Linked DNA regions of Drosophila melanogaster. The protein of the gene in region 1 purifies or fractionates together with the protein of each later gene. This does not show direct contact. Each region holds a gene or a part of one and is shown in the gene's direction. Other genes may lie near its edges.

What was found. The genes of interacting proteins can lie anywhere in the genome.
Region 2: the proteins of CG8026 (region 1) and CG6683 purify together in Drosophila melanogaster (affinity purification with mass spectrometry, with the first as the bait; one large-scale study listed by BioGRID). This does not show direct contact.

The regions. Positions count from the first base shown.
Region 1 is NT_033778.4:9,186,810-9,198,113, reverse strand, and holds the start of CG8026 (uncharacterized protein), read left to right. Parts: upstream 1-6,017; 5' UTR 6,018-6,365; coding exon of another isoform or gene 6,366-6,512; 5' UTR 6,513-6,684; coding exon 6,685-6,838; intron 6,839-7,767; exon of another isoform or gene 7,768-7,844; intron 7,845-8,893; coding exon 8,894-9,047; intron 9,048-9,105; coding exon 9,106-9,460; intron 9,461-9,848; coding exon 9,849-9,994; coding exon of another isoform or gene 9,995-10,100; exon of another isoform or gene 10,101-10,979; coding exon 10,980-11,139; 3' UTR 11,140-11,304. Other genes in the region: unpg (unplugged), read right to left, coding at 1,946-2,780; CG45085 (uncharacterized protein), read left to right, coding at 6,366-6,512.
Region 2 is NT_037436.4:8,509,819-8,520,847, reverse strand, and holds CG6683 (uncharacterized protein), read left to right. Parts: upstream 1-5,926; 5' UTR 5,927-6,000; coding exon 6,001-6,148; intron 6,149-6,206; coding exon 6,207-6,652; 3' UTR 6,653-6,974; downstream 6,975-11,029. Other genes in the region: se (sepia), read right to left, coding at 1-174, 231-258; GstO3 (glutathione S transferase O3), read right to left, coding at 639-1,336, 1,867-1,894; CG6765 (uncharacterized protein), read right to left, coding at 3,190-3,376, 3,431-3,532, 3,590-3,648, 3,782-4,335, 4,398-5,464, 5,683-5,759; Pus7 (pseudouridine synthase 7), read right to left, coding at 8,324-9,746, 9,806-9,908, 9,964-10,335, 10,397-10,584, 10,645-10,763.

The DNA.
Region 1 (11,304 bases):
GATATACATTTAACTACATTTTGAACGGATCCATTTAAGAAAATCGAACTTTGAAATGGACTTAACTAAACTTAAAGTGTATCAAGAGTTTAAGTTAAGACCAAACACTGACTTCACTTTTTCTTTGGATTATATTGTTATTTTTCCAAATTCCATTCCCTTTTGTATTGTATCTTTCCTGAGATACTGAGATACATCTTCGGTTGAGTGCAATCCCATCGTTCAGAGTCACTCTAACACATTGTGCCGAGCAATGCCGCCTCGGTCCAGCCCACATCCTGGCTGATTCTGTCCGGACTCAAGACAAGTCGCTTGGAGCAGCCCCATTAATGGGGCCCTAACGAGTTCGGACTTCTGGTGCAAATGGCCCGTGCCACAAATTGTGGCAAACATATTTATTTATAACTGGATACATGTGTCTGAAGGCTGCCCTTCATGCAGAAGGCATGGAATGCTCGAAACATAATCTGCTTGTTTTGGGTGGACTCAAGTTGAGCGTGCCAGCCAAGTGTCAAGTGCCAAGTGCCCGATGAGTCCTCCCAATTCCGCTACAGCTCCCACTCCAGCTTCCACTTCTCTTAATTTTGAGTACATGGTTAAGCGGTTTTTAACACTTACACGCTTCAAAAGTGCCCGCTGTCACTGATTTATCTGCCCATTTGGACGCCTGCCACCCTGTCGCCAGTCACCCACATAGCCACCCCCATGTCAGCCACCCCCACCCACAAAGCACACCATTTGCGCCCACTTGCGCTCAGTTATGAATATATTAGTCGCAAATTTGTTGCGCTCTTTGCTGCTTCGCTGGCAAATTGATTGCGGCACGGATGGCTCAGTTTCCAGTTTCCAGACAGGCAGCGGGGGATCCGGATGATTACGTTGATGGGAGAACGCAGTGCCATTCCATTCGAGTGTCCAAATCGCCAAATCGCTACGATTGTCAAAACGTCAGCATTCCGTTTCCAGTCACTCCGCTTTGTGGCTTTGTGGTCGACGGGACGACGAGTGGCGTTTCTGGATCCCGAAGTCGGAGTTGTGAAAACTTTTCACTCCGTGATTGACACCGAACACTGGGTCTTAATGCACTCTATGCTAATTTGATTATGACGTGGCAGGCTCAATTTAAATTACCGTGACAACGCCGCTCGACAAAATGAGCCACCGCAAAACTGGACACGATTCGAAGGGGTAAATTATGAGTACTAAGCTCAAGAAATATTTGTATTTGCTTTTGATTTTAAAGAGTTTCTCATTTCGCTGAACGCATTTAAGAAGAATGAGGAACACAACAGGACTACATTTGCATATCGCTCTAAATAATATTAAAACATACTTTTTAAACGCAACAACGAATGTTAGCCATCATAAAAAGTGTATATAAATATTTTAATATCATATTATTTAGATAAATCCTAAGGATTGTCGAACGTCTAACCAATTGGCCAATTTGTACCGCAATTTATTTCCTTAACCCTTAATTGGTAATTATTAATTGATAATTAAAACTAACGTAAAGTGATAATTAAAACTAACGTAAGAAATTCGATGCCCAACAAATTTTAGTCGGTGTAATTACTAATCACCAAAGCAAACGAATAAAAGTTTAGCAAGTATTTGAAAAACATACACTCTTTTCAAAGTGATGAGCTATTTAGTGATATCTTAATAAGTTGAGCAAAATTTAACGATATGCATTAAACAATAGCTTTATATTTATGCAAAAATGCTAACTATTACTATTGTGTCTTCTGCAAACTATAAACTTTATAGTATAAAGGACTTAATAGTTGTAACCATGGCTAAAATGGCTGCAAAATGTATCCGTAAATCTTAAAACAATTGCCGACAAGTTCTAAGATAAAGATCAACCAAGAACTATATCGAATTCCCCAAACATCTCATTAGTATAACCACATCCCTGAAAGATTGATTGCATGGTACCCACCTCCATTGCGGCTCTTGTCCATCTCGCCGTTGTAGTTCCTGGGCGACATGGTCAGGCTAATGTCACTGCAGGAGTCGCCGCTGCACTCGAAGTCCTCGTCCATGCCCACATCCAGGGCCGGTTCCATGGGACTGTGGCTGCCGGACTTGGCTGGCGAGGAGTGGGCCTGTGGGGGCGTCGGCTCCTGGAGCTGCGCCATGCCGGGATTCGCTTGATCCTCGTGCATCCTGCCGGCGGCGGCCATGTGCTGCAGTCGAGCGTGGACACTCAGACTGTGCACGTAGTCCTGGTTCATAAGCTCGGCCAATCGCCGGTAGCTGAGATCCGTGGGCGCAACTCCGGCGGCGGCGGGATTGAAGGGCAGGAAACGCGTATCCAGCGGATGCGGCAAGGTGGGTGGAAGCTGTTTCTCCAAGGCATGTGTTGGTGGATGTGGTGGTGGTGGTTGTGGCTGTGCCTGTGCCTGTGGTTGCTGTGCAGCAGGATGACCAGCTGGACTGGAGGGCAGGTAGCAGCCGCCGGCAATTAAATGCGTTAATCTCTCGTGATTCTGAGCGAAGTAGCCGTGCAGCCAGGGATTATAAAGCGGAAACTGGGTGAGTCCCAGGGCCGAACTGGCTACCATGGCGCGGGCACTCAGCTCCTGCTCCTGCTCTGCCTCCTGCTCCTGGTCCCGCTCCTCGGGCGGCGATGGTGGTGTGGCAGTGGCAGGCGTTTGGTTGGCGATCAGACTCTCGATCGAGAAGGGCTTGGGAAAGGGCTTGCTGGCCAGCCTGGTAGTGGGCGATTCCATGGTGCCGATCTCTCCGTTTTGCAGCAAGGCCGGTCGTTCCATATTGCCCACTCAAAAGCACACTTTCAGGGCGATCGAAACTAACTTCTTTCTTCTAATTTCTCAACGCGTTTCTGTTCCCGAGCAGACACGACGCAGTGAACCGTTCAGAGATCTGCGAGCGACTGTCCAAGTGCAGCAGACATCACGTACGCGTACGGCACCCAAGTCGAAGCCCAGAAGCCCAGAGGCGCCGAGCAACCACCACCACGGATGGTCTGGCTCCTCCTCCATTTCAATATGGCGCATGACAAACAGCTGGTGTCTCTGTCTGGCGCGCGCTCCCATTGGCCAGCTGCTAATTGCCGGGTGGTGCGGACAGCGAACCAGTTTCCGGCAATGGAGCAGCACCACTACCACCTCCACCACCGCCCGCGTTCCCGCTCCGTAATTGCGTTCTGCTCGAATCGCTCGGTAATCAGACATCGCCGGACTGGCGAAGAGAACGCCCTGCCATTAATGCCCCATCTTCGCCAGCTCCTTGGCCATTGGGGAGTACTCCCGCCGGCGGAGGACGGAGGATGGAGGATGGTGTTCTCGCGAGGCATATTAGTGACCAATTTAAATTCAAATGTCAGTTGCCAGTGGGTGTGACTGCTGGGCATCATTAGCAGACACTCCAGTGTGCTCAACGATTTGTATCTGCAACTTAGGTGCATATCTATTAGTCTACGGATATCTGGTTTTAATTATCTAAACATACCAGTAAACAGCTCTGTACAACTATTAATTTTAATTGGTGGTGTTTGAGGTATTTAGTTGGTTCTTAAGCGCACTAATATAGATTTTAAGAGAGTTTAATTGAAAGTGACATCCGTAACAGGCAGAATTATTCAAAGGAATACTCGTATTTCTTGGATGGTAGCAATCGCTGATAATTTAATGACCCCTAATTTATTGCAAGGATTAATATTAACAATGATTTTTTGTAGGCCTGATATGCCAAATTAAATATTTTATATAACTCGTTTTAAAGGTAAACAGGCATAAATACCTCCAACAAGTGTTATTACATAGGGTATATATACATACATAGGTTATACAAAAGTACGTTTATAGTATCCACAAAATACAGACAACAATCCATTGCAGTCGTGACCCCCACCGTCCCCAAGAAGCAGATGGATGGGACTACTGTTTCCTACATCCGCTGTGGACAAATCCACATCCGTTCCCTGATTCCTCGATTCCCCCGAAGCACCCACAATTGATATGCCGATCGTTCTTCGCGCAGCAGGTGGCAATAATTTGCATGTGTATGGCTTAATTGATCGTAATTGACCAAATTTTTGGCCATAAGTGACGAGGCGTCCATTGATTGGAGCGCAAATTGGCATTGGTCACGTTTGGGTGTTTGAAATCTTTTACGAGCACCGAACATTGCGAACATTTAACCGATTCCACAGCGGCATAAATTACAATACAATTATGCGGCTCGTTGATAATTTTGGTTTTCTGATTATGATGAAAGCTGTTGGGTTTTGTTCGGCACTTTGGCAGCTTGTCAAGAATCAGCAGGGATGGGCGGGGATGGATCCTTATAGACACTGTCCGCCGAGTGTGGGTAAATATTTCTGGGCAGCTTCCCTTCTTCTGACGGCGGAAAACGGGCAAATTAACGAATTGCAACGAAGCGTTGAATGCGCTCAAATAAATCAGAGCACTGTTGACACCATCATCATTCCTCATCCCCGGATTCGCCAACCCCAGTCCGTGGTACCCCAATCCTTAATGCGCAGTCCCCAATCCCAGTGCCATGTGCAGAGGGCGAAAGATACATCTCTACAGATACTCTCTTTCGTTTGAGCGAGCGCGTTTTTTAGATTTTTTTGATTGCCTGCAGACGGAGAACAATTCGAAATTATTTACTGACAAATCGTTGCGAATTTTTGGCATATTCCTGAAATGCACAGAAATGCGCACACTGCACAAAACGAACACAATTAAAGCTCTAGCCATACGTATAATGAGATACAAAAGTATCTGCAACTAAGTACCTCGAATTGCTCGCTGTCTGCGGTCTCTAAATTATATCGTTCGACTAATGAAATTAAAATTTCATGCCATTCGACGCAATGTGAAGGCGAACATGTGTTCCCGTGACCGCAGAACACGGAGCTACACGGAGCATATAGTCATATAGCTGGAGCTGTCCGATGTTTGCCCAACATTGGACACGCCCCCACTCAATTTGCGGCGATACTTCGGATCCGGCGGATGCCTACTGCAGTTGGTAATTGTGTCATTTTACCCCTTCTACCCCATCCATCTAGCCATTATTGCGCATACATACATACCTCTATCCTGGCCCTTTCCGCGACCTGTAATTAAGGACCTCTGGCTTATGCCAAATTGTTTACACAATTTAATTGGAATATCGAAGGTAAATTACAGTTGTCGATGCTCGTTTGTGGGCAAGCATGGTTTATTCAGTAATTAGCGGGTCATTCGATTGCATGACCACTCATTGAATATTCCATATTCCATATTATATTGGTGCTGAATACCTTTGCATGGGAATTAGTCGTATTGACTGCCTTCGTAGGAAAGTTATTCGAAAATTAATTGGGTTTCTATCTACTTAACTTTTCCTACTCCTTATTTATCGACCTTAAAATGAGTTTAAGTCTTAATATTTAAGGATTTGATTTGTTTCGGTTGTATAATTAGTATCCTAATTATTGGTGTTTTTCCTTTAGTCTTTGTACAATACTCAATCAACATTTTTTTGTTTGCAAGTAGTTTGTAATTTTTTATAATACTCCTTAAATTTAATTGACTTTTGCTAAGGATTTCTATAAGAGAGTGGCACGGCTATATGAATATGGTGTACTCTGATAGCCAAGTTCAAAATTATTATGTCTTCCTACCAAAATAAATGTAACTAAACAACAAAAAAAAGTAATGTTTGACGATTAGGTAATTTTATGCTAGATTTTTGGGAAGAAGATAGAACATTATATGTCTTAAAAATAGATTTTTTTCTATAAAACCGGAATTATCTAATATAAGCTTAAAGAGAGATGAGATTACATAATAATTTAATTAAATATTTAATAATTATTTAATAACATGTTTAATGACATACTTGAGTAATATGAAGCGGAAATACCTATTTTTATCAAGTGGTGTGAATATGACATTTTGAAATTCGATATGATGTACATTGGTATTTATTCTGCGGCTGGATGGTATTTTTATTGTTATCGGCCCTGGCGCACATATGGTAACACTGTGCTCAAAGTCGATTAGTCGTTTTTCGTTGGAGAGCTTGCTGTTCGCATTTATCCGCCTGCTCGCGCGTAGAAAAGTTGTTACTTAATGTTCATTGCTGCCACACGTGCTTGATTATTAATTGCAGTGCGCTAATCAGTCGCTTGTCAGCTGAGCAGACCACAAAAAACGAAGGCAATTATTTAGGCTGCCCTTTCAGTTCGGCATTACATAAGAAACGAATGGCCAAACGAAAATAATTTTGAAACAATTTCGGAGTTAATATTGCATCAGCAATTCTGAACAGCAGATACACAAAAAGGGCAGCAATTTGGCCAACAAAGTCTTCATAAACGACAACAAACGAGTGAAAATATGAGCTGGGCAACAACAAAGCAAAGGCACAAATGTTTCAACTGTAGCAGCGGCAGCAACAAAAACAACCGGAGCAGCGGCAGCAGCAGCAACAACAACAACTGTGCGCCTAGCAACAAGATAATTTCGACGAGCGATTTCCTTTGATTTGCGCCCATCTGTGTCGAAAGCAGCCGAAAAGCCAAAGAGTGTAAATAGCACGTAGTTTTAGTACAATTCACTGTAGCAAAAGTGAGTTTCAACCGGGGCAGCCAATAAGCCTGCGATAGCAACAATAATACAGAACGAGCGCAAAAGAAATCACCAGAGATTGCACAATATGAATCCGATCAAGGCACAGTCAACGGGCAGTCCCAAGAAATTCAACGTATTCGCACACGTCAAGTACGAGCATTTGGTTGCCGGAGTATCCGGCGGAGTGGTGTCCACACTCATTCTACATCCCCTGGATTTGATCAAGATTCGATTCGCAGGTGAGTCATCCACACGCCTCGGGGAATTCCACGATTTCCGTGAGCAAGCAGTAGTACACTAATATAACATCTTATAGGGAAATATATTTGTTGAATAATCCAAAATGCCAGTGCTCTAATTTAAGTATTGTGTTTCGCAATATGGCTCTGTAATATAGGCACCTTTCTGATTAATCTGGGCTTAAAATAGAATACAAAAACTATACCTATTAAAAGAAAATTGTCAACTGATAGAGAAAAACGTATATGTCACCATAGGAACTAGCACTACGTATATTGCTGTGTAGTAAAGAGCACTCGGCACGTGCGGGGAAATGCCGCCAGTCTGGCTGCAGATTATTGTTGCACTTTACTCGCCGCTCGCGTTTTGTTTGCGCAATGCTTTACAAATTTTCCATGGAAAGTTTGAGACGCTACTCGGGTATCCGAGAATTCGCACTTGATTTTTTTTTTTGTGCACCATGGAAAATTTGAGAAGCCCGTGTAGTCAAGTAGTGACGTGCATGCTTTCGCACATAAACAATGCTGATGAATGGGGCCACGGGCACGTGAAAACATAGTTTTTCCTCAATGCGATAGAAAGATGAAATTTATGGTTGTGTTGACAATTGTGTGTGGAATCTCAAATTGGTCTAATCTGGATTTTGCAGACAGGAAACGTGGGGCAACAGCAGTTCGAATTGTTTACTTGCTTTTACTTTTATGCCGCCTGGCCAAAGATCGATACAAGCTATCAACCTTTGATATTAATGGCTATAATATGAGCCATCAGCTTACGCAGGCCATTGTGTTTATGACTATTTGCTGAAAACTACTTCTTTGTAGTCAATCTGAATCATATGTTTGGCCTCGTTTGCGTTTCATGCGCAAAATACATGAACAACATTTCCGTATAGTCTGCTTCGGGATACCAAAACAACAACAACGAACCGAGAGCGGGTTTCTTGATTATTAAATATTGTTGCCGTCCAGTTTGCCCGGATCAGTGCTAAAAATCGTTAACGCAGTAAGTGAATATGTAAATTCACCAGAAAAGTGGCTTGTAAACAATAACAACCAGCACACGAGTTGTTTATGCGAATTAAAGTCACACCATGCGAGTTTTGTGAACTGATAAAGCGAACCCAAGTTGGGATGGTTAGAAAATCCAGAGCTAGTGGTTTCGCCGCAATGAACCTCCTTGAATCCGGTGGCTTCTCGATTTGGCAACAGCTGTTTTCTATTGACTTGCGCAAGGCCTTTATGGCGATGACGCATTTTGGCCAAACGAAACCCGTTTATCTTGCTTTTGATTTTCTGCTCTTGCTCGTTTTTAATCACGTGACCACTTGACTCGACTGTACATTGCAATGGCTTTGTTAACGGCAACTTTCAGCGGCAACTGTCCGGTTTATGTGGCACAAGCGCCAGTTCCAGTGGCTAAAAACGAGTTCCAACTGTTGCCATGCGGGAAGTCGACTGATTCAGCACTCTGCGACCTTATCGCTGCGACTTTATCGAGTGCATGTCGAAAAACTCTTTACGCTGGCCAAAACCAATGTGGTTGCTTAGTCGTAAATACCCCAAAAGAACTTGCCTCTTGGGCTGTCCAGTCTCCTTTCAAGGTCACCCATGAGGATGCTATAAATAGTCTAGAAGCGAAGACGAGCCCCTTTCTTCTGCCTGGTACTGTTGTCAGGCCAGATCTTATGATTGCCCAGCTCATATAGAATATGTCGTCCCATATAAATAGCTAAGTATCTGCTAATGGGCGCGAAAACAAGTAGAGTGGCTGATTTCGACGCTCCCAGCTTATCGCATCCGCTGGCAATTAATGCTATCTATCTGCTTTTGGCGAAAACAACTTTGGCCACGGGCCTGGACTTGTTGGTTTCGGAGTCAACAACTGATATTCCCGTAGACGTACAGTTGCCTAGGTGAAGAGCAATACACACAATATGACGCATTCGCCGGCCCTTCAGTGACAGTATCCATAATCATAATCGTGCCAGACCCAAGGCTGCAATGTCTAGACATGTTTATCATTTACGAGCGTGATTCCTTCTCCACTTGCAGTTAACGATGGCCGGACAGCTACGGTGCCGCAATACCGGGGACTGAGCAGCGCCTTCACCACGATTTTCCGGCAAGAGGGCTTCCGCGGACTCTACAAAGGCGTCACCCCCAATGTCTGGGGATCGGGCTCCTCTTGGGGCCTGTACTTCATGTTGTAAGTACTTTGCTCTACTGATAATGGTAACAAACCTAAATGTAAATACTCCCTTCAGCTACAACACCATTAAGACATTTATCCAAGGAGGAAACACGACCATGCCATTGGGCCCCACAATGAACATGCTTGCAGCTGCTGAGTCGGGAATTCTCACCCTGCTGCTGACCAACCCCATCTGGGTGGTGAAGACGCGTCTCTGCCTGCAGTGCGATGCCGCGAGTAGTGCCGAGTACAGGGGCATGATCCACGCCTTGGGCCAGATATACAAGGAGGAGGGAATCCGTGGCCTGTACCGCGGCTTTGTTCCCGGCATGTTGGGCGTCTCCCACGGAGCCATCCAGTTCATGACCTACGAGGAGCTGAAGAACGCCTACAACGAATATCGCAAACTGCCCATCGACACGAAGCTGGTGAGTAGGCAGATCACAAATGACCAACCCATCACATGACCAAGCTGCGCGTGGCGTTGACATCGCCTATATACTAAATTGGGTGAACAGATGCGGTTAACTTAATAGCACAAAATTATTACTTATACAAATAACAAAATACTTTGAAGTCTTTAAGTTTAATGCGTAACGTTCAAAAATTGAAAATCTATCGAGTACTTTTTTTTCAATTACTTTTTTCGTTAGAAGACTTTCTTAATCAGAAAAATATTTGTTCGCTTTGTTATATTTTGTGTGACCACATCTGTATCTGTATCCGAATATATCTGGTTGTGATGACGTCTCCGCCATTTGGCAGCCATTCAGCTCATTCTGTTCGCCTCACTAATGTGTGCTCCCTCACCCACAGGCCACCACCGAGTACTTGGCCTTCGCGGCTGTCTCCAAGCTGATCGCAGCGGCGGCCACCTACCCGTACCAGGTGGTCCGGGCACGGCTGCAGGACCACCATCACCGATACAACGGCACCTGGGACTGCATCAAACAGACTTGGAGGTACGAGCGCATGCGAGGTTTCTATAAGGGCCTGGTGCCCTACCTGGTCCACGTCACGCCCAACATCTGCATGGTCATGCTGATCTGGGAGAAGCTGACCAGCTAGATGGAGTATTAGTACTAGATCATCGAATCTGGAATCTGACAGAGAATTTAAGCTAAGCACCTAGAATACACGAATCTTTCTCGTTTCCTCCGATGTGCAGCTAACAGCAGAAAATGACAAACTTATTCTGTATTATTGTTGTAACTCGATTTCGGTTTAGCCCTAGCACCTTACTTTAGCCTTAAGTGTATTCCATATCTAGTTTATTGTACATCCTTCACTCCCAACTTCGAAAGTAACTGATGTGATCGGGGCGTCGTCAAAATAGCCCCTGCCCATGAAATGTAATTTCAAAAACGCATTTCTTGCACTCTTCATCAAAACAAACACATATTTAGTTCTTAGTTTAGTTAAATTATTTATTCTATAACGGCTTGGAATTGTGTAAGCACAAAGAAAAACCAGTTACTGTTTAGTTGATACAAAATTTCGTTTTGGCAAAAAGATTCTTCATAGTTTTTGAAAATGGTTTATAATTTTAAGGATAAACCTTGACATTTATGTAAATAAGCATAAACGCATTGTGAAACCAACTTAGTCCTACAGTGGAACAATCTTATTGAAATCAAAGAAAAGATAAGAAATGCGAAATTACTTACCCATATTAAAAGGCCACGATGGCAGACCTAAATGAAAACCAAGAAACAAACTAAAGCAAACACTGTCAGCGCGTCCAGCCTGCGTCTTTTCATTTGTCCAAGGGCTCATGGCAGCTTGAGTAAGTAGTCCTTGCTCCTTCCGCTCCCTAAGTCTTCGATCACCCCCTTAATTGTGCAGAATCTCTTTGCTAATCTGAAACAGCCAATGCGCCCTTACTGTAAGTAGATGTAGCTTTCAGTTCTCAGTCTCTAACCGCATTGTGTTTGGTTCTCTTTGCAGGTTTGAGGGCTACAGAGGCTTCTACAAGGGGCTGAAGGCGAGTTTAACCCGAGTAGTGCCTGCCTGCATGGTCACCTTTCTGGTGTACGAGAACGTCTCGCATTTCCTGCTCGCCAGGCGGAAGCGAATTGAGACTAAAGAGGATGCGTCGGACGTGTGATTTTCCTTTGGTTGGATTCCTTTTAGGCTTCTAAGATACATATATCACCTCACGACATTTCCATATGTCTCTATAGTCAGCGGGCAGTTGCAATCGTGCTGAGCATGCGCAGCTGCTTTTAGTTTAAGTTTAGTTAGTTGTTGCGAAGACTTATTTGGTCTTTTC
Region 2 (11,029 bases), on another chromosome or scaffold:
CCTGTGGATTCTTCTCCAGCAGCCACTCCGGCTTGTCTGTGAGATTAATGTAGATGCTGTGATACGGGATCTGCTTGGCGTCCAGGACCAGATGCACCCGTTGGGCAAATGGGCAGAAGCGCATCGAGTACAGGCGAAGGATACCATCTTCGGGAACATCCGGCATGGGTGAGCCTAGTGGGCGCATTTATTATCAATTATGATTATCCTGGTTTCCTGGCTCTACCCACCTTTTGCCAAATGCCTGCCGTTACTCATGATGTGCGTGCTCGGGTCCAGAGATGCAAGTGGTGATAGCGATTGTCATTCGAGTGATTTATAAAGTGCAGCTCACTGCCCTTCGCCGGTTGGCTTCGCTTACGCGGCTGAACTTGGTGGCTTGCGGCTGACACACATACCAAGCCATGTGGATACAGTGAAGCCCCCTTGCAACCTGCATATTGCTCCAAAATATTTGTTTAAAACAAAACTTTTTAAGAACTAAGTTTTTCGAACCACGTTCTGTGAATCTGGAACGGAATTCTTGCCTTTCTAGCCTTAATTCATTTCTTTGTCACATAAAATATTTTAGTTTTTATTGTTTTTAGAACATTATTAAATCTCCTTTGTTATATAATAGTTTCATTTTCAGTACCGATCTAAGCCAGCAGATCGTAGTTTGCATTGCCGGCCTTGCGGGTGCGCCAGAACTCGTTGTGCTGCTCGGGAGTGGCATAGAAGGACTGCACCACCGAGTCCGCCTTCAGGAGGGCAATCCACTTGGTGATCTTCGGGAAACGACTCTCGTTGAAGTTGTACTCCTTCTGCAACTTCAACTCGATTACAGAGAGGCGTTCGAACCAGGGCCAGATCATGTAGTCCACGAATCCCGGCTTGTTGCCGCCAAAATATGGGGTGCCCCGCTTGGTCAACTCCTCCTCAAAGATATCAAGTGCCGTCCAGTAATCCTCCAGACCGGTGCCCTGCACAAGGATGTTTATGAAGGCACTGGTGATGCTGCTGAAACGTTCCAGCAGAATCTTGTCCTGTGCCCGCTTCAATGGGTCCTTGGGCAGCAACGGATTCTCCGGGTACTTATCGTCCAGATACTCGGCAATAATCAGCGACTCGATGAGCGAGGGCTCACCCTTCTCCGCCACCAGCTGCAGGGCAGGCACCTTAAGCAACGGACTCACTTCCACCAGCCACTCTGGTTTCTCGGTGAGATTGATGTAGACACTGTGATAGGGCACATTCTTGGCGTTCAGGACGAGATGAGCCCGCTGAGCGTAGGGACAGAACCTCATGGAGTACAGGCGAAGGACTCCATCGTCAGGGAGTACAGGCTTGGGGGAACCTAAAGATAGAATTTATTTACCAGTTAAATTTAGGTTATACAAATAAATCAATAACTTCATGAGTCACTTGTGGAACCCTAAAATCCACCCCTGTATTATTATTTGTTTAGCAAGTCATTGCACTTAAGTTAATGTTGATAGGGCCCAGTCGTGATAAAGCTCAAATTTTGTAGCTACGTTATCTTTTAGAGTGTAAATATTATGGGTTATCTGATATCGGGGTGAAAGCTATAGCTAAAAATGTAAGTAAATTTTACAAATCAAATAATTAATTTAATGCATTACCTACAATTGTAAAAGAATAAAGATCGTATTGAAATTTACCAAATAATATACCTTTCTAACTTTTTAACCAAAAAATCCCAGTTATTCATGCCAATATTCTTTAACATTATGAAATATAAAAATCGTTATTCGATAATTACGCTGAATGTTGGAGAACTTGTTTTATAAATAATACTATAAACACTCTAATGACATGGGCGTTTCTCTTGGCGGCGGCGACAACTGGTTTTGCTTGCTCTCTTACCTTTGGCCAAATGTTTACCAGAACTCATTTTGTTTAATTGCAGAACTGAACAAATTCGCTTAACTGTTGAAATGTCGACGGTGAAATGCGAACTGAGTTTTCTCTTCGACGGCGCTCTGTTTATATAAAGTTTTTTGTTTGTGTTTTAACGCGAATAAGAATAATCGAGCTTTTTGCGACGTGACTCTTAGTTTTCGTTAGCTTTTAAAAACGATTTCTCATCGCAGACGTTTATTTCGATTTAAAACGCTTTACTACATTTGCGATTTGTTTTGTGGGAAGAGACAATCATTTCCTCCGCATTATACATAGTACATCTACTTAGTTTGTTAATAATCACGCCTGTTTGTAAATATAGATATATTTTGTTTTTACATGGTTTGGGGGGAGCTTTATTTTTGTTTTTAATTGAACCTCGGAACTACTACGTACATTTAGAGTTTTAAGTTTATGAACTTTTCGTAAAAAGTTTCGATCGGCGGACTTTCGAAATCAAACTTAATCTATGTACAAAAAAGTTCTCGAAATTTCCGTTCATGCCTTACAAAAAATACAAAAAAGTATTAATACATATACAACAGAGTTGCTGACATCATTGAGTCGCGATAAATAGTTGTTATCAGTAATTGCATTCGAAAAACCAAATTGGAAAGTAATAAATAATGACAACTACACTTGCTGCTGGAATTAATTGTTTATCAAAATGTAAAAAGATCCTTTCGCTGCTTTTGGTCCTACAAATGGGATTTCTTTTGATGCATCCTTTTGAAAACTCAAGTGGATGATTAATTTTTAGTTTTTAATTCATTTTAAAAATGTCCGCAAATGGTAAACATTAAAATTTAATGATTAAACTGTATCGTTTTTTTTCCCGAATCAATTGCGCGTTGTTGTTACGGTAAATACATGGGATAAATAGCTAAAACTAAGTAAATACGTACACTTAAAAAAATTCTACACACTGGAGTTAAATGTTGCTTTGCTTTCGTTTCTGAATTTCTTGCTTTGTCTTGTTTTGCATCGTTGCCTGACGATTTCCATTCTAAGTTTCGTTTATAGTTTCGTTAATTTTTTTTTGTTCGCAATTTGTATTTTGTTTGTTGCTCTATAAAATATGCAAACTGGTTGCATTTTGATCACGGTTCTTGCTGTTGCATATAAACATCCATCTCACTTTTGATTATTGGAACGACTTGAGATTTTTGAAAATGAATGAAGAATATGGCTGTTTTCAAATTTATCCATGGGCATCCGGTTTCGAATCCTTCAGCTTCATTCGCCAATGGTCCAATGGTTCTTTGAAGTTGATCCCTATGGCTGGCCTTAGCCATTCGGTGAGGTGGATGCTCCAGGAGATGTGGTTGTGGCCACTGCATCGCTGTTGCTCATCTTGTGCAGCATGAGGGAGTGCGTCGATCTGGTGGCGGTGGAGCTGGGATACTTTGGCTGCATTTGGCTGTTGGACACTGTGGAAGAGCTGCTGGTCGCCGGCGGTGGCGGTGGCTGCTGGCTGCAAGTGAACAGAGTTCATCAGTGTGCTTTTGCTAGCCCTTAGGACACACACCCCTTCTGCTCGCCATCCTTCTTGCTGTTGAACATGGCCAACTCGATCTCCGTGTGCTGGCTGTTCATGTGGCGCACCCACTCCGCCGGCGTATCAAAGGATCTGCACATGGGAAAGGGAGTTAGTATATATTTTGCTTCTATAACTCCAAACACTTACGTGGAACACAAATCGCAGAGCAGAGTTACGTGATCGTGATCCATATTGTTCTCCTGTTGCTGAAAAACACAATATATAATCTGGTTTTAATACATCCAATAGATATTGGTAACCGATCATCACTACGAGTTAAAATCATACTTCAGTAGATTTGGATTTATTAAAGGGATGAGTTGCTGTCCAAGTACTCACCGAAACGCGACGTCGTTTCTTTGGCACATAGGTTTTAACAGATCGCAGGGCGAGGTTGCTGGAGGCGGATGTGGTGCTCCCGCTGGCACTGGATGGCAGGAGATTCCTCTCCGTGCCGCCCGTGGGATCGCCGGCATGTGTGCCCAGGTGACGGACCAGCATTTTGGTGTCCTCGAAGGACTTCTGACAGATCTCGCAGACCAGCAGCTGCTTGAAGTTGTTATAGTCGCGCAGCGTGTGCTCCTCGCTCTCCTCGGAGGGTGTTCCGCGATCCCTATTCACCTCCAGCTTCACGGCGGACATCTTGAAGTCGAGTGGCTGCTTGGGCGAAGCCAATGGCAACTCCTCCAGATTGTTGTTGTTGGACGCACTGGAGGCGTTTGGTGGGTTGTTGCTCCAGTCGGTCGGCTCCTGTTTGATGGTGAGGAAGTTGTGCGGATGTCGAAGGGTCGGCGGATGTGATGGTGGTGCCTGCTGTGGTGGTGGCGGAGGTGTGGCTGCCAGGCGAGAGGATACCACGTGCTCAAAGTGTGGTGCTTCATAGTAGTCCCGAGCTGAGGGGAATAAAACATGGGATTAGTCATCATTAGCAGCTGTGCTGAGTACTCTTACTCACATCTTTCGCATGCGCTCTCCCTCCTCAGACGTCGCTCGAAGACCAGGCCCACCTCGTTCCGCTCACGAAGTGCCTGCTCCTCGTACTCTGTCCGCCGCAGCGTGGTCTCCGCTTGGTCAGCACCTGGTCCGGCGGTCAGGGGACAACTGCTGCAGCCCACCTCCGTGCAAATGGAAATGGGCTGCGATGGCGGGGCACCTGAACCTCCAACTGATCCTCCTCCTCCTCCTACTGTTGTCGTTGTGGTGGTTGGTGGTGGTGGGTGAGACTGCGACTCCAACTGACCGGGTGCCGCGAAACAGCATTTGTCCTCCGGATCGATGGCCACCTCCTTGTTGACGGAAATGCCCAACTTGCTGCTGCTCGCGACGGTTAGTAGTCCTGTGTGGGCGGCCAATTTGGGTGACTTAATGATCACAGGCGAGTCCTTGGGCATCACGGAGGCACCAAGTCCACGAAACTGCTGCTGGGGATTATGGTGATTCAGGTGGCTGTGGTGTGACGACAGGTGGTGGTGATCCAAAGCGAAACGTGTCGATCCACCCGGCTTGCTGGCATATAGATCTCCCTGAAGTTGCGCCGACATGGTTGATTGTGGCGGCGGCGGAGGGGGCGGCAAAGCGGTTCGAGTGCCATTCGACATGTACATGGTGCTAGCCTCTCGCGGATGCAGATGCCCGGCCAGTGAATGGGGATGATGTGTGGTCGTGACCACTGAGCCGGATCCACCGCCATTGGAAGAGCTGGTGCGGCAGAGGCCACGGATCTTGAGGATCTCACCGCCGCGCAGGACCTCGTTAAGTATGTCGTTGGAAACTGTGGCCTCGCCGCTGTACATGTACTGAACCAGGATCTGGATGGCGCGATGGCTAAGATCCGGCGGCAGGACCACATACAGCACTCCATTGGGATTGGTGATCGGTGCCGTTTCGAACATGGTGGCGAAGAACTGGGACGAAGCACTCAGGATGAACTTGTGGGCCGAGATGCCCACTGTGGGTATATCCGAGGGGATGCCGCTGCTGTTGTAGGAGCTGTACAGAACCACATCGGCGAACTTTTCGTTCCTAAAGGGGAAATATGATGCGTTAATATAGCATATCTACGTATTTTGTAGTACTCTTGGAGAATATTGAAGAAGGGTTCTTAGAAAATGTGTGTTTAATCCTCTGACCCTGATACATTTAATGTTTTTAACATTAAACAATTAAAAACGCTGCTAGATCACAATTACAAAAAACAAAAAACTTCAAATATGTACCAACTATGGTACAGTGGTACTTACTTATAAAGTGTGGCTATGGAAGAGTTAAGATAGGTGAGGTGTGAGTCCCACTTAAGGTGATAGTTTTCGGCGGCCATCTCTGCGGCCGGCAGCTCCTGTACAACGATAAAATCAATAAATAAATCAATAAATGCCGCCAGTGGGGTGTTTATTTTGAATCTCCCGATCCCACCACACCACCCAAGGAGTGGTGAATAGAGGGTTTAGCCACCATGCTCTTGTGACAGCATATTTCTCACACGAAGCAACGGTCATACTTATTCGCTAGCTTCCATTTGTTTACATATTTTCATTTGTGTTTATTTTGAAAATATCAAAATGTCGCAGTTCGACACGCGACTTATTGAGCTGGTTAGGGCTAATCCCAAGCTTTATGAGCGCGAACTTAGAAACGCACCCTACGAAGCGCATAAGAAGCGACATCCGGAAATCTGGAGCAGCATCGCCACTTCATTAAATTCAGAAGGTAAGAAACTGATAAATTGTATAAATATTCCCTAATTCCTCATTATATTTTAACTTAGCTAGTGCCTGTGTCAGTCGTTGGAATCATCTGGTGGCCAAACAGCGTCGGGAGCTGGCCAAAGAAAAGGCCGGAGGCACTGGCTCCGATTGGAGTCTTCTGCCGCATTTGAAATTCCTGCAGCATCACCACCATCCGATTAATCACCGAAATTCGGGTGATCTGAGTAGGAGCACACTGAAATCCAGCGACGAGGTCAACGATGATGAGGATCCGCTCCAGGAGGCCATGGATGAGCAGCTGGCCGTTGCGGGAGCTGCACCAGCACCACCCACAAATCCTGCCCATGCAACGCCAGTGGCTCAAGCAGAAAAGAGGATAGAAGCCCTGCTTGAAGGACTGGGCGAAGCAAACCGAATTAAGGCGGAGAAACGCATTCTGGCCTACCTATGCAAATGCAATCTGCGCGCCCTGAACGACGAGCAAATCGATGATATAGTTATTTAGGAAGATTGCCAAGATGATATAGTTATAAAGGAAGATTGCCATGATGATAAGTTAAATACATACATGCCGTGATAGGATATCAAAAGTAGCAAACATCACTGATCATATAATTGTTTAATAATTAAGTCATTTTTGTTATAGTTTATATATCTGGACAATTATCTTAAGCGAATACTAAATAACTTCTTTTTCCAAATGTATGCTTCCCTAAAAAATATTGTTAATCCATTCATTTAACCTAATCTTCGCATCTAATGAAGTTTACTATACAAACTAACTATTGCATTGTATGATATGATAAAACATTAACACGCCTGTGATTAAATAGTTTATTTTATTTGAGGCTTAAGATTAGCAATTTAAAATTCAAGACAACTGGTAAACCCCAAACAAAGCATCAATTGTCGCCAGAGGTCATTTATAGAGCCAGAGACTTGCGGGAGTGTATAGTAATGCAGTAGGAAGCTATCTGTGTGGCAAAAGCCAACTTTGAACAGGCGGGCGGGGAGCAGGTGGAGTAGGCGAGGGAAAATCGAATTGAGCCACGCCAAAAAACTCCTACTATGACGCAGCTGCTGCTGGGAACTGGTCAAAGAGTCAAAGAATGCGCGCGCAAGCAATAACATGTCCAATATCCATGTCTGGATCGGATCGGGGGAAGGCCTCCAGCACGGGGACAGGGCGACGACGACGCCAAAACAAGCATTTAGTTTATTAATTTGACGACTGCCGCAGGGGGAGCAGTGGGCCGAAACAAAAACATAACGAGCGAGGAGCGTCGTGCACCCTTAACGACTGATGCCACACTACCACTACCCCCTCGTACCGACTGAGTCCCCCTTACTTCACACGTACATGGTGAACCCTCCGACGCACTAAGCCACTATATGAACCAACTACTCCTACGGCCAGCCACCTACCCACTAGACCATTCCCATTCCCAATCCCCGGACTCAGCTCTTGGTATTAACACCGTATTATCGATTGATTTCCAGCACAAGCACACAACAAAAATCAATAGGCTGCCAGAGCCAAAATCAAATATTGTACAGTTCTGTGATTGTTTAGTTCAGTGTTGTCGTAAAAGTTATAAACAATTTGTAGACTCGAATGTATACTTACGCCTTAATAAATGGATTTTCAAAGTACGCGCCCAAAACGTTTAAATGCTACATTTAACTGGAAATTCACCTTGTCTCGCCTCTTGGTTTTTTTATTTGGTTTAAAATCTCTTTAAATCACTGGATGAATTGGATGGAGTCCGTGGATTTTTGGGGGACCGTGCTTGTTCGTTATTTGTTGTCAATTAATAATTTGTTATTGCTCTTCATTGAGAACGCTGGGGAAAACCGTGCGACTTGGACTTTTGAGCTGGGGAAACTGCGCAGCGCGTCGCTTGAGCTTTCGCGTTGGTGGCCACCGAACGAATAAAATCGCAGTCAAAGAAACAGGACCAAAAGGACTCTCCCAGGCGAGAGAGAGAGAGAGAGAGAGAGCGATTGAGATTGACGGGGTGCGAGCCACGGGATGCGACAGTGAGAGAGAGAGAGAGAGGGAGCAGCCCTCGTCCTCACGTGCGCATTGTTATTGTTGTGGTTGGTTCGAAGTTGGATACGAAGCGCGCGTAAAATTGATTTCCTGAGCATATTGATTTTCGGTATCTCACTTGGCCTACACCGCCTCCTCGGCCCCCTGAGTTTCCGCCTGCTCAGTTTCCTGCCCATCCTCGTCGGCCACCTCCTTTACCACCTCCATTTGTTCCTCCTGGGTTCCTACCGCCTTCTTTTCATTGTCCTCCTTAGCCATTGCCTGTTTCTCCAACTGCGTTTGCGATGCTGACGATGTGTCCTGCTTTAAGAGTTCTCGCAAAAACATGGTGGCATAGGCAGCCGTGGGCAGCGAGAACTCCAGCAGGAGTGCCATGTAATTGGCCTCAGCTTCAGCTGGTTCTGGTGCAACCGGAATGTTCTTCAATAGCTCCCAGTCGGAGGCGATAAGTGTATCCTCCGGCGTATTGTACATTCTAAAGCTCCACTTGAGATCACTGGACGATATGATCATCTTGCGGTAGGCGCCAGCCAATGCGTATGTCTTCTCCTTGTGCTTCAGTTGATCCGAGGAAAGACCCACTTCGGCGAGCATTTCCTCGTACCACGCGCCGCACTCGTTGCTGGGATAGGTGATGTCGTGTCCAGGCAGGGGAAGGACCACATCGCAAAGTTTGTACTTGCCGCTAGCGATGTCTTCTGCTGTGAGCGGGCGAACCTTTCGCTTGAAAATCGACTCCTCTTCGATGGCTTCATCCCCTTCGGGGACTTCCAGAGGTTCATCGTTAGGCTCCTCTTCTTTTTGCTCTTCCAAGGCCTCGCCCTGCTGCGCCTGCTCTTCCGAGGCTTCCGACTGATCCTGCTCCACATAAACCAAATCCCCGGGTATCAATTTCAAGCCGAACTCCTTAATTCGTCTAGACGCTATCCTGTTGAAGATCAGGCTTTGGTAAGCATGTGGATATAGCATGAGCATGTTGCGTGGTATCTGCCGCAGAGCTGATGAGTAATCTGATTCACCAAATCTGGCCAAGCCGTCCAGCAGCTTCTTTTCGATGAACTTTTCGCCGTAGATCTGTGCAGCTGCCGCCGCGGAGTCGCGATTTTTCCACCACTCCTCGCGTATGGGACGCAAAAACTCCACATCCGAGTCCCGGGGTTTCAGGATCAGTTCGCAGGCCAGTTTGTAATCGTGCTTGAGCAGAGCAACACCCACCTCATAGGTTGGGACACTGGCGCTGTTGCCGAACCGCTGCAAGCCATAGTAGTTGATGAAGCCGCGTTCCTTCAATGATTGCAGTGCCTGCTCGATTTCTTCTCGCTTCTCCTTGGCAATGTGTCGCAAGGCAATACGAAAACGATTGCCCTGCAAATCGCCTAGCTTCAGTGTATTGGATTCGAATCCAAAGTTGCCGATATGAACATTCCGTTGGGAGCGAGCTGCAACCAAAATGCTCTCTGGTGTACGACGCTTGACGGAGAACTTCTGGGTGGTTTTGGCCCGCTTGTCCTTGATGCCGCTGTAGTTCACCTGCGATGGTCGTAAGCTGTAGAAAAATAATGTTTTCTTAGTATATTAAAGCATTTAAAATTTGATCAAACTTACTTCAGTCGCGCTGCTAAAGTAGAGGCCACATCGCTGGTAACCAAATTGGTTTTGTGCACCAGGAAGGTCACGTAATCCGCCGGAAAGCTCCAGCGTTTGTCACCTATGGAATTCGATGCATAAAAAAAGGAATTCCCTGGGTAATCATTTCTACTAACCGCGTCCTGGCTTTGGTTTAAATACTTTTATAGTCTTCTTCTCCTCTGCCGGCACCTGTGAGTCTTTCTGGGTTGAGGTTTCACCTTCAGCCGCATCCTTATTTTCCAAAGATGCCTCCTCCTGGACCTTCGGCTTAGCCTGCTGCTGTCCAATGGTTGTGGACAGTAGCTTGCCCTTGTAAAGCTGTTTTATCATCTGGTGGACTTGTGTTCGCTGCTCCTTATCCAGAGTGGTCACATCAATCTCCACCTTTTGCTCGATCGCGGGATCGTTTTTGGCCTTAGCCAGATTGGCTATATCCTGCCAAACTTCCGGGCCGATTACTGCCTCCAGTTCTTTCCGCCAGTTGTCCAGTTCGTTTTCGGCCACAGCTGTTATAGTATGAGATGCATGAGCATAAGCAAGTATGCAGGATAATTGGTGAATACAGACCCACAATAGCCACTTTAGGCACACTGAGATCGTTCAGTTCCAGAACCTTTCCATTGCTATCAATCTCGTTCACGTGAAAATCAGAGAAGCGAGACTTAAGTATTCCCGTGAAGCCAGGTGCCTCCGGGTTAGTGAACTCCGTAATGCCCACTTGGGTCTCCAGCAGCGTGGATTTCTGTTGTGGAGCACTTTTGTCCAACGAAAAACGCCGGTTAACAACGATATTATTTATGGGATTTAATTTGTACCTGTTGCGCTGACCGCCACCATTGTTTTGGGGGCGATCCTTCTTCTGACCACGCCAGTTGCTCTTGTTGTATGGCCCGGAATGGTTATTCCTACGTCCTCTGCCCCGATCCTTGCCCATCTTGGTTCAAAATTCGCGTTTGAAAATTTGTCGGCAAATGAAATCCACGTTTTGCACAACATATGATGTGCCCATTCACAATAAGCTTTTTAGGTTTATTAGGGTGGCCGCATGTGCCATTTATTCGGGAAATAGATTTCTTAAATGGTTGTTAGCATAAGTTCATCCGCAAATATTCCTCTTTTTTTATATTGTATGATAAATATAATTTAAAAACATGCTTAATATTAACATATCATAAAACTTTTGTTAGTATATTTTCCTCA